Caenorhabditis elegans: one gene and its partner. The protein of the gene in region 2 interacts with the protein of the main gene of each other region in a pairwise test. Each region holds a gene or a part of one and is shown on either strand. Other genes may lie near its edges.

The links.
Region 1: the proteins of klp-7 (region 2) and nfyb-1 interact in a two-hybrid assay, tested with the Caenorhabditis elegans proteins (2 studies listed by BioGRID).

The regions. Positions count from the first base shown.
Region 1 is NC_003280.10:461,325-469,164, reverse strand, and holds nfyb-1 (Nuclear transcription factor Y subunit nfyb-1), read left to right. Parts: upstream 1-1,799; 5' UTR 1,800-1,828; coding exon 1,829-2,033; intron 2,034-2,259; exon of another isoform or gene 2,260-2,316; intron 2,317-2,611; coding exon 2,612-2,773; intron 2,774-2,921; coding exon 2,922-3,122; intron 3,123-4,594; coding exon 4,595-4,713; intron 4,714-4,987; coding exon 4,988-5,144; intron 5,145-5,784; coding exon 5,785-5,861; intron 5,862-6,491; coding exon 6,492-6,591; intron 6,592-6,961; coding exon 6,962-7,152; 3' UTR 7,153-7,498; downstream 7,499-7,840. Other genes in the region: tomm-22 (Mitochondrial import receptor subunit TOM22 homolog), read left to right, coding at 485-655.
Region 2 is NC_003281.10:10,803,912-10,811,503, forward strand, and holds klp-7 (Kinesin-like protein), read left to right. Parts: upstream 1-2,013; 5' UTR 2,014-2,018; coding exon 2,019-2,187; intron 2,188-3,570; exon of another isoform or gene 3,571-3,591; intron 3,592-4,126; exon of another isoform or gene 4,127-4,271; intron 4,272-4,429; coding exon 4,430-4,548; intron 4,549-4,688; coding exon 4,689-4,905; intron 4,906-4,953; coding exon 4,954-5,611; intron 5,612-5,661; coding exon 5,662-6,123; intron 6,124-6,173; coding exon 6,174-6,485; intron 6,486-6,532; coding exon 6,533-6,839; 3' UTR 6,840-7,088; downstream 7,089-7,592.

The DNA of each region.
Region 1 (7,840 bases), on a different chromosome or scaffold from region 2:
GCAATTTTGAACCGAGAAAAAGTTGAAAATTTGCCTATTTTACACTGAAAACTCTAAAAAAGATTCAATTTTCTTTCAGTTTTCCCGAATTTCTGCTCTAAAAACTAAAAATTATCGATTTTTGCAGTATAACATCTAGAAAATCAACAATTTGACAATTTTAAACTGAAAAAAAGTAAAAATTCGGCCTTTTTTATTTGAAAACTCAAAAAAATCTTATTTATTCCTCTAAAAACCAAAAATTATTGATTTTTGCTATAAAACACTCGGAAAATCAACAATTTGACAATTTTTAATAGAGAAAAAATTAAAAATTTGCTTATTTTACACTGAAAACTCTAAAAAAGAATATGTTTTCTTTCAGTTTTCCCGAATTTCTGCTCTAAAAACTAAAAATTATCGATTTTTGTAAAAAAATCTCAATTTGACAGTAAAAACTCATATTTCACACTGAAAACTCCAAAAAAACTCAATTTTCTTTCAGTTTTCCCTTACAAAAAGCACAATTTGGGTTGTATCTACAACGTCATTGATCGCCTTCCTTCCATACATTATCGAAAAGGAACGAAGTGATTTGGAAAAGACTCAAGTGGCTCAGCAACGTCAAATGCTTCTCGGACCATCTGCGGCCATTCAACAAGCCAAAACTGCTTGAAAAACTTGATTTTCTCGCCGAAAATCCCCCTTAAAACCGTCTGAAATTGATCTTTTCCTAGATTTTCCCCTGTTTTTCGTCTTCTGATAGCTTTTTTTGCGATAGAATTCATTATCATATAAATTGTTGATTTTCTAACATTTTTCAAGGATTTTTCTAGCACAATATCCCGGTTTTTTCATCCAAAACTTGTATTTTTATCGATTTTTTTGACGTTTTTCACTTTTTCCAGGTAAAAATCCGAATTTTAAGCTTTAAAAAGCCTTAAAAAACACAAAAATTGCAAATTTTCGCGCTGAAAGTCGCATAAAATTGAATTTTTATAATTTCTGTTCGAAAAATCTTCAATTTTTCGCTGAAAAATTTTTTCCCTGGCAAAAATTCAAATTTTGGGTCTGCTAGGCTACAAACTACAAATTTCGATTTAGCAGACCCGATTTAGAAGAAAAAACGAAGAGTTTTCAGTCTAAAAAGCTTGAAAAATAGCCTTAAAACTTGATTTTTTCGCTTTTTTATTGAAAAAAAACAAAATTTATCATTTTTATCCCAGAAAATCGCTGAAAACCCCGAATTTCGCCTATTTTCTTCGTTTTCACCCAATTTTCTTCAAATTTTCGCAATTTTCAGCTCATTTCCATTATCTAAATTTTTTGCAGCACTGTATTCGGGTTATTTCATCCAAAATGCGTATTTTTATCTTTTTTTCTTGTAGTTTTTCACTTTTTTTCAGGCAAAAATATATGAGACATCGAATTTTAAGCTTTAAAAATGCTTAAAAACACAAAAATCGTCAATTTTTGCACTAAAAGTCCCAAAAACTTCAATTTTTCTAATTTTTATTCGAAAAATGTTCAATTTCTCGCTGAAAAATTGCTTTAAAAAAATTTAATTCTGAAAATTTTTGGTCTGCTAGACTACAAACTACAAATTTCGATTTAGCAGACCAATGTGATTTTTAAGAAGAAATTACGAGTTTTCACTTCGAAAAGCTTGAAAAATGGTCTTGAAACTTGATTTTTCCTGTTTTTTAATCTAAAAAATTAAAAATTTAGCATTTTCAGCTCGGAAAATCGCTGAAAACCCCGAATTTTTGCTATTTTTCCTTGTTTTCACCTTATTTTCTTCAAATTTTCGCAATTTTCAGCCCGTGTCCACCGTCTAAAAGCTCCCAAAATGGATCCAAAACCCATAAACGAAGGAATGTTACTGGAGGATCATGATCATGGAATGCCTGAAGAAGAAGAAATAACAGAAGATGATATGAATGGAATTCATAATATAGAAGAGGATACACGAACAATTAGTGAAATAGCAATGGAGCTTCATCATCCGAATAAAAGTCAAGTTTTACTTGATCAGGAACGATTTTTGCCAATTGGTATGGGAAAACATGCGGAAATTTTGATGAAAATCGATAAATTCCCGGAATTTTACACGAAAAATTGAAATTTCTTGAAAAATCTAGACTGAAAAGTGAAAAAATTCATAAATTTCCGATAAAAACCGCCATTTTTTCTAAAATTGCCCTTTAAAATGAAAAAATATCACATGGGTCTGCTAAATCGAAAATTGTAGTTTGTAGTCTAGCAGACCAATTTTGTTCAAAATCACTTTGGTCTGCTAAATCGAATTTTGTAGTTTGTAGTCTAGCAGACCAAACTTCTTCAATATCTATTGGTCTGCTAAATCTAAACTTGTAGTTTGTAGTCTAGCAGACCAATTTTGTTCAGAACAACAATGGTCTGCTAAATCGAATATTGTAGTTTGTAGTCTAGCAGACCAATTTTTTACAATTTTTTTTTCAAAAACATAAATTTTCGACAAAAATCGATTTTTTTTGTAATTTTTTTTTCAAGAATTGAAAGTTTCTCTGCAAAAAGGCATCAAGCTCGAGATTTTTCAATTTTTTTAAAACAAAAATCGTTGAAAATTCTCCAAAAATCCCAATTTTTTCAGCTAACGTGGTCCGAATCATGAAAACTCAAATGGATCCGCAGGCGAAATTGGCAAAAGACGCAAAGGAGTGTGCTCAAGAGTGTGTTTCAGAGTTTATAAGCTTTATCGCTTCGGAAGCCGCTGAAATATGCAATATTACGAAGCGGAAGACTATTACTGCAGGTAAAACCGGGAAACTCCGTCTAAAATTACCCGCAAATCGTCCAAAAACTACAATTTTCGCATGGAAAACCTTTTTAAAAACTCAAAAACAGCCCAAAAGCCCAAAAAACCCTAAAAACCGCAATTTTCAATATAAAAAAATTTCCAGACGACCTGCTCACCGCGATGGAAGCCACAGGATTCGACAATTACGCGGAGCCAATGCGAATTTTCCTTCAAAAGTACCGTCAGGCTCACAAGATCACTGGACCAATTCACAGAACACACCCAGACTACGTACGGCCTCCACAATTTCAAATGGATCCTTTTGTTCGGCCATTATTCTTCGATACGGAGCAAGGACGCAGATGTTCGTGTGTGAAAATCGGAAAATTTTGCCTGAAAATAGATTAAATTGATGGAAAAATAGAAAAAAAAACTGGAAATTTGACTGGAAATGGATTAAATTTATGGAAAAAATAGTAAAAAACTAGAAATTTCACAGAAAATAGACTAAATTAGTGGAAAAAAATAGAAAAAACGAAATTTGACAGAAAATAGACTAAATTTATGGAAAAAATAGTAAAAAACTAGAAATTTGACAGAAAATAGACTAAATTTATGGAAAAAAATAGAAAAAACGAAATTTGACAGAAAATAGACTAAATTTATGGAAAAAATAATAAAAAACTAGAAATTTCACAGAAAATAGACTAAATTTATGGAAAAAATAATAAAAAACTAGAAATTTCACAGAAAATAGACTAAATTTATGGAAAAAATAGAAAAAACCGGAAACTTGAAATTTAGACTAAGAATTGTTTTTTTTTCAAAGATTGAAGTACTGAGAATGATGATTTTTCATTTAAAAAAATTGTCAAAACTCTGAATTTTTTGCTGAAAAATATTCAGAAGCCGAAATAATAGTAAAAAAACGGTGAAAATTGCATTTTTTCCACATAAATCTCAAAAATTCATTTTTCAGTTTTTTTCAACTACAGTATCCTTTGAAGTCATAGAAAAAATTACAAGATTCGCAGAAAACTCGAAAAAATCATAATTTTAACGCTAAAAACTTAAAATTCAGAATTTTTGGCTTTTAATTTCGGCTTCTGAGTATTTTTCAGCAAAAAATTTAGAGTTTTGACACATTTTTAATGAAAATTATCATTCTCAGTGCTTCAAGCTTTGAAAAATTAATGGGAAGAATAGTAAAAACCTGAACAAAAATGGTTTTCTCTGGAAAAATTCCTAAAAATTTTTTTCAGAGCTTGAAGCACTGAGAATGATGATTTTCCTTTAAAAATTTGTCAAAATTCTAAATTTTTTGCTGAAAGTTGCACAAATTCTTAATTTTGAATTTTTAGCGTTAAATATATGATTTTTTCGAGTTTTCTACGAATCTTGCAACTTGTTCTATGACTTTCAAGGATACTATAGTTAAAAAAAAACTAATAATGCATTTTTAAGATTTATATGGAAAAATTGCAATTCTCACCGTTTTTTTCCCAAAATTTTGAATTTTTCGCGAAACTCAGCAGCTTTGCATAGTAGTTTCAAGCGACTTTTTTTCGGAAAAATACCGAAACTTGCTCTGAAAATGCCATATAACTCCTATAAGGATTACTGTAGTTTCTCTACAAAAATAAATTTCTGTGACTCATGTCCTTCTATCCAAATTGATGGCTGGAATATCGGTATTCTCGGCTGAAACATGCAATAAATACCGTATTCCAACCAACAATTTGTGCAATAGAGCACATTTGTCACCGGAGATGCGGAAGCTATGCCCAAATTTTCAATTTTTCTAGGAAAATGATGAAAAAAATTGCAATTTTCCAGGTACCGAGACTCAATACGTGATAAATGGCAGTGAAATTGTGAAAAATGCTCCATTGGGAGAAGAATGGAATGAGCAAACTGGTACATTGAATACCCGCGCAGATGGATATTATATGGAGGTGAAAATTGGATTTTCTGGATGGAAAACTGTGGAAAAATGGATTTTTCCACTAAAAACCTGAATTTTTAACTCAAAAATTGATTTTTTTAACTCAAAAATTGAATTTTTAATTCAAAAATTGAATTTTTAATTCAAAAATTGAATTTTTAACTCAAAAATTGAATTTTTAATTCAAAAATTGAATTTTTAACTCAAAAATTGAATTTTTAACTCAAAAATTGATTTTTTAACTCAAAAATTGATTTTTTAACTCAAAAAATTCGATTTTTCAGGAGCCAATGGAGCCGATGCCGATGGAAGAAGTAGAAATTGAAGAACACGAGGAAATTATTGAGCAAGATTCACTTGGAGCCATCGCCTTGGAGCAACAAGGCCAAATGCAGATTTATGTGGATCCAAAGACGAAACAACATTTTGCAGCGAAAGAAAGTACGGAATTTTTTATGAAATTCTGAATTTTCCAGCGTGAAAATTGGAAAAATTGAGAAAAATCGATTTTTTTTTGTGAAAATTCCGGAAAAATCGAAGTTTCGCCGATTTTGTGGCGTTTCCAGAAAATTTCTCATTTTTTTCCTTAAAAATTAGAAAAATTAGATTTTTACAGCACAAAAAAAACAGAAAATTGAAATTTTCTTGATTTCCAGCTCAAAAATTGGAAAAAATGGTTTAAAACCGATTTTGAACGGAAAAAATCTAGGAAAATCGATTTTTTTTTTGGTGAAAACTTCAGAAAAAATCGAAATTTCGTCAACTTTTGTGGATTTTACTGAAAATTCCCTATGTTTGCCGTAAAGATTAGAAAAAATTGGTCCAGATTTGATTTTTACAGCAGAAAACTAGAAAATTCAAATTTTTTTTGATTTTTAGCATAAAAACTCGAAAAAATTGGTTTTAATTTGATTTTCTACCTGAAAAATCCGAGAAAATCGATATTTTCCCGATTTTTATATTAAAATTTGTGAAAATTGACATTTTCTCGATTTTTCTGAAAACAATTGTGAATTTTCTCGATTTTCTGTCAAATATCTAAGAAAATGTTTTTAAATAATTCCGGAAAAGCAAATTTCAGCTCCGAATGGCATGGAACTCTACCCTCTGATCATCCAGGACACCCCACTGCAATTGGAAAATGTTTCTGGGCCAAATGTACGATTTCCAGCACTTTTCACAGCGAATTTCAGATTTTTAGTGCGAAATTCGAATTCAGCGCCTCAATTTACCCCCAGAACCCTGTTTCCCCGTCTTCTAGCTCAACATTTTGAATATTTCGGGTTACTGTAGCCCCAAGAGTACGCAAACACCGACTACTGTAACCCAAAGCACCAGATTTTACGGCATTGGCGAATTTCGAGCTGAAAATTGATTTGACGGGGTAAATTGGAGTGCTGAATTCAAAAATCGTATTTAAAATTTCAGAAAATTTGATTTGAAAATCGGAAATTTTGAAATTTTCAGACAAATTTTTTTTTGGGCAAAAACCTTGTAATTTTGAAATTTTAATGCGAAATTCGAATTCAGCGCCAAAAATTACCTTCATTTTCCTTTTCCCCGTGCTTCTAGCTCAAAGTTTGAATATTTTGGGTTACTGTAGCCCCAAGAGTACGCAAATACCGACTACAGTACCCCAAAACACCAGATTTTACGAAATTTGCGAATGTTGAGCTGAAAATTGATTTCCCGGGGTAAAATTGGAGTGCTGAATTCGAAAATCGTATTGAAAATTTCAGAAATTTTGATTAAAAAATTTTTTTTGTTCGAAATTTAATATTTTTTCAGCAATTCGTTATGAATATGCCAGATGGACGAGCAATACCCCACGGAATGGGACAAGAAGAGCCTCAGCCAGTGTCAAGTAGCTCAGTTATGCGGAAAATCGGTAAAATATTGCATTTTTTAGTGATTTTCTGTTCAAAAATGCTGAAAAATGGAGATTTTACTGGTTTTAATGGGAAAAAATCAAGTTTTTAGCATTTTTGAGCCATTTTAATCGGGAAAAAAGTGATTTTGAAGCATTTTAACCCCAATTTTCCAGTTTTATAAAATGAATTTTCCGATTAAATAAGTGTTTTCATGTATTTTCAGCTAATTTTTAGTCTTTTTTAATCGAAAAAACTGATTTTCAGCCAATTTTTCTTTTAAAAAAAGTGATTTTAGGCATTTTTGGCCTATTTTTACCTATTTTGCATATGTTTTTTTCAGAAAAATGAAATTTTTGCACATTTTCAGTCAATTTTCCCGATTTTCAGGTCAAAATCCGTCTTCCTATGCCCAGCAGCACCACCACGTCAGCCACGTGGAACAACACGATGACGTGGAATATGAAGAAGAAGAAGAAGTAGATCAAGTAGAGGAGGATACAGTACCCGTTCCAATCGCGCCGAGACCCGCAGCCACCCGAGTTCAGCCGAAACGAACGCCGACGAAGAGGAAAAAGTAGAGAAAATTGCAAAAAATGATAATTTCTCGATTTTTATTGTATTTTTCGCATTTTTTCACCCTGAAATCCCAACTTTTTGAGGAATTTTTAAAATTTTGCACTGAAAATCACCATTTTTACCGAATTTTTTATTGGATTTTTTCTCATTTTCCCTCAAAACTGAATCTGAAAACTGCAATTTTTGCAAAAATTCAATTTTCCAAAATTTTCCATTTTTCATTGATCTCCATCGTATCCATTTCCTTGACAACTTAACATATACAATTGTAATTATTTTTGAAATATTTATTCATTTATTTATTTATATCTCTAATTTATTGCAAAAAAATAAATTCAATTATACCCCAATGCCTCAGTTTTCACTTAACCACCAAAAAAATTCGTTTCAAATCGATTTTTCAATTTTTCCACACTTTTCCCATTGAATTTCAAATTTTCAATGCGAAATTCGAATTCAGCGCCTCAAATTACCCCTATTTCCTTTTTCTCCCGGCTTCCAGCTCTAATTTTAAGAAAATTGGGGTACTGTAGCTCCAGGAGTACGCAAACACTGACTACAGTACCCCAAAACGCCTGATTTTACGACACTTGCGAATTTTGAGCTGAAAATTGATTTGACGGAGTAAAATGGGGTGCTGAATTCTAAAATCGTATTAAAAATTTCTGAAAATTTTTATTTGAAAATCTG
Region 2 (7,592 bases):
GGACAACCGGCCAGGAAAGAAAAAACATATGAAGATGGGCAATAAAATGTGTGGTGATAAGCGTTGAATAGGCTCTCCAAATAAACTAAAAACTAGGCGTTAGGGTGCTTATTTATTAGTTTGGATTTTTAAGGGGGATGCTCTTTTTGCAAGTTTGCAGGTCTTTCAAAAAATCGCAAAAACCTCACTGTTTTTAATATATTTTGTAGTATTTTGTTGTTTCTACTAATTTTCATATCGAAATTTCTAATAATCCAACTGAATACATATTTTAATACATATTTTAAAATGTTTTTTTAGGAAAAAAATAGTTGAAAACAATGGGTAAAATTTTCAAAAAGTACGAAAAATTCTTTGAAAACGGGCTAAAATTTTGCCGTCCAATTCCTAACGAGACCCAGCGTTTAGGGGTGGTGCAACCTTATTACGGGAGCATAATATTCTGAGAATGCGTATTGGGCAACATATTTGACGAGCAAAATAAATTATAACTATATCTCGTAGCGAAAACTACAGTAATTCTTTAAATGACTACTGTAGTGTCGATTTACGGGGTCAATTTTTGAAATTAATTGCATAAATCATTTGTTCATCTATAGAATATTAAAGTTAAGCAAAAAAAAAGAAAAAAGTTATACGACGAAACGAAGAAATTCATTTTAAAAATCAAGCCCGTAAATCGAGCTACAGTAGTCATCTAAAGAATTACTGTAGTTTTCGCTACGAGATATTTTGCGCGTCAAATATGTTGTGCAATACGCATTATTAGAATTTTGTGTTCTAATGTAATATATTCAGATCGAAAGAGACAAATTTATTTCAAATTCTGCAAGTACTCTTTTAAAAATTCGAAAATCATCACTGTAAAAATGTGTGGAGCGAAGTTTTTTATTTTTTGATGGGAATTACACACACACAAACCGCCACCGGCAAACATAAGTCAATCGGATTAAACAGATTTAAATTGTAAATGGTAGAATTTCAAACGAAAAAATTGCCGGAAACCTAAAAAAAAAATTCCAGAACATGGGGGGAAACTTTGGTCTCATAATCAGCAAGAAAAGTGATAAGGGATCACTTTCTTTAATGGGACGCCGCCGCCGGCCAGTGGAAAAGGTTAAAAATGCAATGTGACAAAAAAATGATGCTGATTTTTCATTTTTATGGTATGTTTATTACAGACTTTGTAACTCTGAAAAAGGGCGTTACATATAGATATTTTGATTTCTTTCTTTGCTGGAAAATAAAATTAAAAGTAAGGTCTCGGCGCGCGAATTGTATTTTTTTCTTTTGCCTTTCAATGTGGAATAGTTTTTGCTTCAAAAAATTCAAAAAAAAACGTCTGAAATTCAAAAAGAATCATTAAAAAAACGATAAAATCGATAAAATCCTTCCAAAAAAGAACTACCAATCAGCGATTCGTTACGCCCAAATCTCAACCAATCAGACGGAATGGGCGGAGTTAAAGAATGCTGATTGGGTGGAAAGTAGGCGGAGTGAATCGCTGATTGGTCTTGCAGTTCTCATTTTATCTGGAGGGAATTCTCAAATGAGAACTGCGACCAATCAGCGACTTCGAACTCCGTACACTCCATCGTTGATTGGTCGCATTTCTCCGTGTTTTTTAATTGAATTTTTCTTGTTTTTTTGTGGATTTTTTAAGCCAAAATGGATAAAAAATAAAAAGAAAAAAGAAAAACCCAAAAAAAAAGTATTTTTTTTAATTGATAAAAATATATAAAAGCTGATTTTTTCAAAAATTCAAAAGTCCTGGAAAATCATATGGAGTCATTCTTTTTTATTTCCCACTCCATCGTTGATTGGTCGCATTTCTCCGTGTTTTTTAATTGAATTTTTCTTGTTTTTTGTTGTGGATTTTTTAAGCCAAAATGGATAAAAAATAAAAAGAAAAAAGAAAAAACCCGTGGCATCATAAATTTCGCATTGTCACGTGGCATTGTTTATTTTCCGTTCGGACAAAAAATAATGAAAAAAATATTATTTCCAATTCGATCCCGATGAAAAGTTGCAGAAGTTGTAAGGAAAATCCTGAAGTGCAGAGAAAACGAGCCGAGAAGCCGTGGCGACGGGCTCCGAAGGCCAAATCAGAAGTCGAAAAGCATGGAATCGGTCCACCGGACAGTGATTCAGGGGAGGAAATATCATTTCCTTGGTATAATGTGACCGGTAAGTGAGTCATCTCGACTTTTTCGGAAATAAGCTGAGAGGCTTATATTTCTTTTTGTCGCATTTCATGAACTTTCAGCCAGTTTCAGTTATTACTCAGATGTCAAACTTTTTCGTTTTTTTGAACTCGAAAATACGATCCCGACGCGACAATTTTTGTAATATGCAAAAAGGCGTGCGCCTTTGAAGAGTACTGTAACTTCCTAACTTCCACCACGATTTTCATCGATTATTCATGGATTGTCTCCCGTTTCCGCAATTTTTAAATGTGTTTTATTTTGTTTAAAAAAAATAGCGTCTTGTGCAACATATTTGACGCACAAAATATCTCTTAAGTTAGCGAAAACTACAGTAATTCTAATTCTTTTTTTTCCATTTTCATTCGTTTCTTCGCATAATTTTCTCATTTTTATTTTTATTTTAATATTTTAGCGATAGTAAAGTAAAATTTTAATCCATCCGAGCCCGTAAATCGACTACAGTAGTCATTTATAAAGTTACTGTAGCTTTCGTTACAAGATATTTTGCGCGTCAAATATGTTGTGTGAGACGCATTATCATAATTCTGTGTTGTAGTAATAGTTTTAGTAATAGTTTTTCGTCAAAAAATGTTCTTGAAAAGTAAATGAAAACTGAAAATTCCGCTTTGCAGTTAGAGTTACTATTTAAAGGCGCATACACAATTTTGCATTCAACCAAAATTTTTCGTGTCGAGACCTGGTATCGTACGTTTCCCAAGTGTTTATGTGCAAAGGTTACCCATCATAATCCTTTTTTGCTCCGTCTTTTTGCACCACACCCAAAAAAAGCAAGAAAGAGCTCATAACCATAGAGCAATGTCTCTCTGTCTGTCTTTCTTTGTGAGCTTTTCATGTGTATGTGTCCTATTTAGAAGCACTGCATTTTCTTTCCCTCCTCCACGTCTTCCGGCTCTCTCGGTCCCCCCCCCCCCCCCCCCAACTATTCCCGATTGCGAAACACGAGCTCTTCGGGAACCGAGCCCCCACTTCCAATTCTTCGTGTCCCTCATTTTATTGCCGCATTCCGGCGAGTCTTCTTTAGTTTCAGTCGTTTGAACATTTGTTCTCGAGAAATTCGATAATTTTTATTAGGGAAAAGTAGGTTTCAAATCGAAAACTCGGCTTAAATCGTTGAATTTGAAGGAAAAATTTAATAAATAGTGTCTAAAATTATAGAAAATTATGCAAAGCTTTGACAAAGCTTTGCAAAGGCGAGAAATCAAAAATTGAATTTTTCTAGACTTGTCTAATTGCCTCTGATATGTTTTGACCTACAATTGACCTACGATCTCAGGCGGGCGCGCACGAATTCATATTTTTGTTTCGCGAAGTTTCTCTCATTTTGTTTTTCCTTCGCTATCATTTTAGGTGGTTTTCGGGTTGACTCAGCCGGTTTTTGGCCAGTTTTTTTTGTTTTAAGTTAATTTTTCTTATTTTGTCACAATTTCTTTTTGATTAATGGCAAATAATTATTATAATCTGAACATTTTGCTTTGAAACTCGAAAAAATCTAGAAAAAGAATAATTGTATCGTAGTCGTTTTCTGATTTTTACATGGAATTCAAGTCAATATTCATGTTTTTTAATGAAAAAACATGAATTTTCTCCAAGAAACGATTATTCATTTAAAGGAACATACGTGCCTGCTGAGCTCGTGTCTCGTAGCGAAATTTGTATCGTAGTCGTTTCCGCATTTTTTAGTTTTTAGACCTTTTCAAGAAATTTTCTCTGTTTTTCGCTTCAGAAAAGATCCATTTTCGCGAACATTTCTACCATTTTTTTTACAAAATTATCCTGTTACATCGATTTTGATCGATATCATCAAAATACACTAGTTTTCTCCTCCAAAACCGTCTGTTTTACATTTCTGGAGCCCACGTTTCTGACCGTTTCGCTCCGTAATCCGTTGGAAGAAGCACTCCTTTGTGTGTCCAGACCCACCCGTCCATGCTGTGTCCATCGAGCGGTCGCCTGTCTGCGTTTCTTCACTCCCCTCGCCTATTTCATCCGTTTTCCTCCCTCTACTCCCCCTTCGAACGCAATTTTCGCGCCAATTTCCCAGCAGCAGCAGCGGCAGTACTCGCCATTTCATAACATCTCCCCCGCCACTGACTAATGTTTTCCGATAGTTTATCATTTTCTTTCATGGGATATGAACAATTGTTTCCTTTATTCTTACGCTCTAATTAACTCGAATCCAATTAATTTGTTATTATTTTCAGGTAAAATGCTTGTCGTCGGGATGCATGTGGAAATCAAGCGGAGCGACGGCCGCATCCACGGTGCCGTAATCGCCGAAGTTAAGTCGAACGGCCGGTTTATGGTGGAATGGTATGAGAAGGTGAGTCGCATCCTTCGAGAAGACCATCACTCGTCACAGAATCATGCATTTCGGATGTGATGCCGAACCAAAAATCATGCATTTGGCATTGTGTACTTTCTTTCTTCTCTTTTTTCTCTTGCAATCTTTCACATTTTCAGGGCGAGACAAAAGGAAAGGAATCCTCGTTGGAAGAACTTCTCACGCTGAACCCATCACTCCAAGCACCGAAGCCTACGCCGCCGCCACAGCCTCCTCAAAAAACGCTTCAAGCGTCAACTGCTGTCAACAGACAAAACGGGATCCATGCGCAGAGCATGATACTCGATGACGAGGATACATTCCTCTTGGATCATATCAACATGATTCCGGCTAAAGGTTTGTTGGAGAGTTCTGGTTTAATATGAAACAAAAATTGATTTTCAGGTGCTTCTGCCAACAAACGACCAACGGGAGCTTTCACGCAGCACGTTCCTGTTCGTATGGCTCCTCCATCCGAAAAGCCTCTCCCGACTCGTCGTGCTCCGTCACCGAAGGAGGATGCTGCTCCTGCACCGAAGTCTACTCGTACGACAGCAGCCTTCAAGCCAGATCTTGATAGTACGGCGATCACGGTTCCGAAGCACACTGCAAGGCGCACAGTTGTGGTAGCTCCAGCTCCGGCCCCTGTTCCTGCTCCACCAATCGCCAACATGACATCACAGCGAGCCCCGTCTCCAGTGGCAAGAGTTCCGTCGCCGAAGAACGTACCGCGGTCGTATCCACAACAGGATGTTCAGCCGTCGAATGGGAACTTTGCTTTCGCGGAGATGATTCGCAACTACAGAGCCCAGATCGACTATCGTCCGTTGAGCATGTTCGACGGTGTCAACGAGAATCGGATTTCCGTTTGCGTTCGGAAGCGCCCACTGAACAAGAAGGAGCTGACGAAAGCGGAGGTCGATGTGATCACGATCCCTTCTCGTGACATCACAATTCTCCATCAACCACAAACACGTGTCGACTTGACAAAGTATCTGGACAATCAGAAGTTCCGATTCGATTACTCTTTCGACGAGTACGCCAACAACGAGCTGGTCTATCGGTTGGTTTTTTTAATTTTTCAGTTTTCGTTTTTAAAAATGATATTTTCAGCTTCACTGCAGCACCACTCGTGAAAACCGTCTTCGACAATGGAACTGCGACGTGCTTTGCCTACGGTCAAACAGGATCCGGAAAGACGCACACAATGGGTGGAGATTTCTCCGGAAAGAAGCAGAATGCGTCGATGGGAATCTACGCGTTGACGGCACGAGATGTGTTCCGGATGCTCGAGCAGCCACAGTACCGTCGCAAGGATCTCTCGGTGCACTGTGCGTTCTTCGAGATTTACGGAACGAAGACGTACGACTTGCTCAACGATAAGGCCGAGCTTCGTGTGCTTGAGGATAAGATGCAGAAGGTGCAGGTTGTTGGGCTCAAAGAGGAGCAAGCGCACAATGAGCAGGATGTCTTGGAGCTCATCAACAAAGGAACTCTGGTCAGAACCGCTGGAACCACTTCGGCAAACGCGAACTCGTCGCGTTCTCACGCCATATTCCAGATCATTCTTAGACAGTTAGTTTTTGTTTTTACGTGAAGATTGCTTTAAAATTAATTATTTTCAGAGGCAAAAAGGTGTGGGGCAAGTTCTCGTTGATCGACTTGGCTGGAAACGAGCGAGGACAAGACACGAGAGAATGCGATCGTGACACGCGGAAAGAGGGCGCCAACATCAACACATCGCTGCTCGCACTGAAGGAGTGCATCCGTGGAATGGCTCGCAACAGCTCACATGTCCCGTTCAGACAGTCGAAGCTCACGATGGTTCTCCGAGACAGCTTCATCGGTGAGAAGTCCAGGACAGTGATGATCTCGATGATTTCGCCAGGGATCTCGTCGAGTGATCACACGCTCAACACACTTCGCTACGCGGATCGGTAGGAATTTTATTTATTTTTTGCTAAAAAAAATTCACATTTTTCAGTGTCAAAGAAATGGGAACCGACGGAAGCGGCGAAGCAACCCCAATTCGAGACGAGGAATTGTTCCTGCCCCCATCGGCAGACAAATCGGATGAAGAGTACGATGAGATGGTCGAGAAGCAAGAACATCGTCGAGTAGCGGTCGATCACGTCCGGAACCTGAAAGATATGTCTGAAAAGATCATACGCGAAACGACGATTGTCCTCTCCAACGAGCCGAGTGCTGCCCAGAAAGCCGAATGCCTCGCCAAGCTTGATCAACTTGCGCAGATAGTCTCGAACACCCGTGTCGCCGTGGAAAACGTCTGATTGCTGATTCCCGCGACGATATGCTACCCACTTCATGTACCATGATTATTACTCCCCGCCCCCCTCATTATTCACCATTTTCTATTTATTTTTATCGCATTCCTCCAATATTTTACCGTATTTATTTCATTTAGGGTATGTGAAAATTATTTGACCCTCCCCTTCCATCTTTTTCCCCTCTCGTTGTGAATATTTTACGGGTCCCCATTTTTTCTCGGTTCCGTTTTAAATGAACCATTTTATTCGTTTAATCAGTGTTCAATTTGAAGGTGGCTGTTCCGGAATTCATGCACAATTAAGTCGTTCTCTTGAGGCCCCACGAAAAGGGGAGCAGAACGAAAAGGGGATCTGCAAAAAGGAGATCTGCGAAAAGGGGAGATACGAAAAGGGGAGATACGAAAAAGGGGAGATACGAAAAGGAGATCTGGCACTGTGCCAAACGCTATTTTTCTCGAAGAAAACAATACAACGATGCTCCGATGTTACGCGTCGCGTGTTGTTAAGCGTATCTTCTAGAAGAAAATTTCAAAAATCAACGTGCGTTGCGTGAGAAAAATTGCGTTTTGTGCGTTTGGCACAGTGCCAGCTCCCCTTTTCGTATCTCCCCTTTTCATATCTCCCCTTTTCGCAGATCCCCTTTTTGCAGATCCCCTTTTTGCAGATCCCCTTTTCGTTCTGCTCCCCGTTTCGTGGGGCCTCGTTCTCTTCAAAAAATCGTTGTGATACCCAGCATGCTCCTTTAAACTTGCGTGG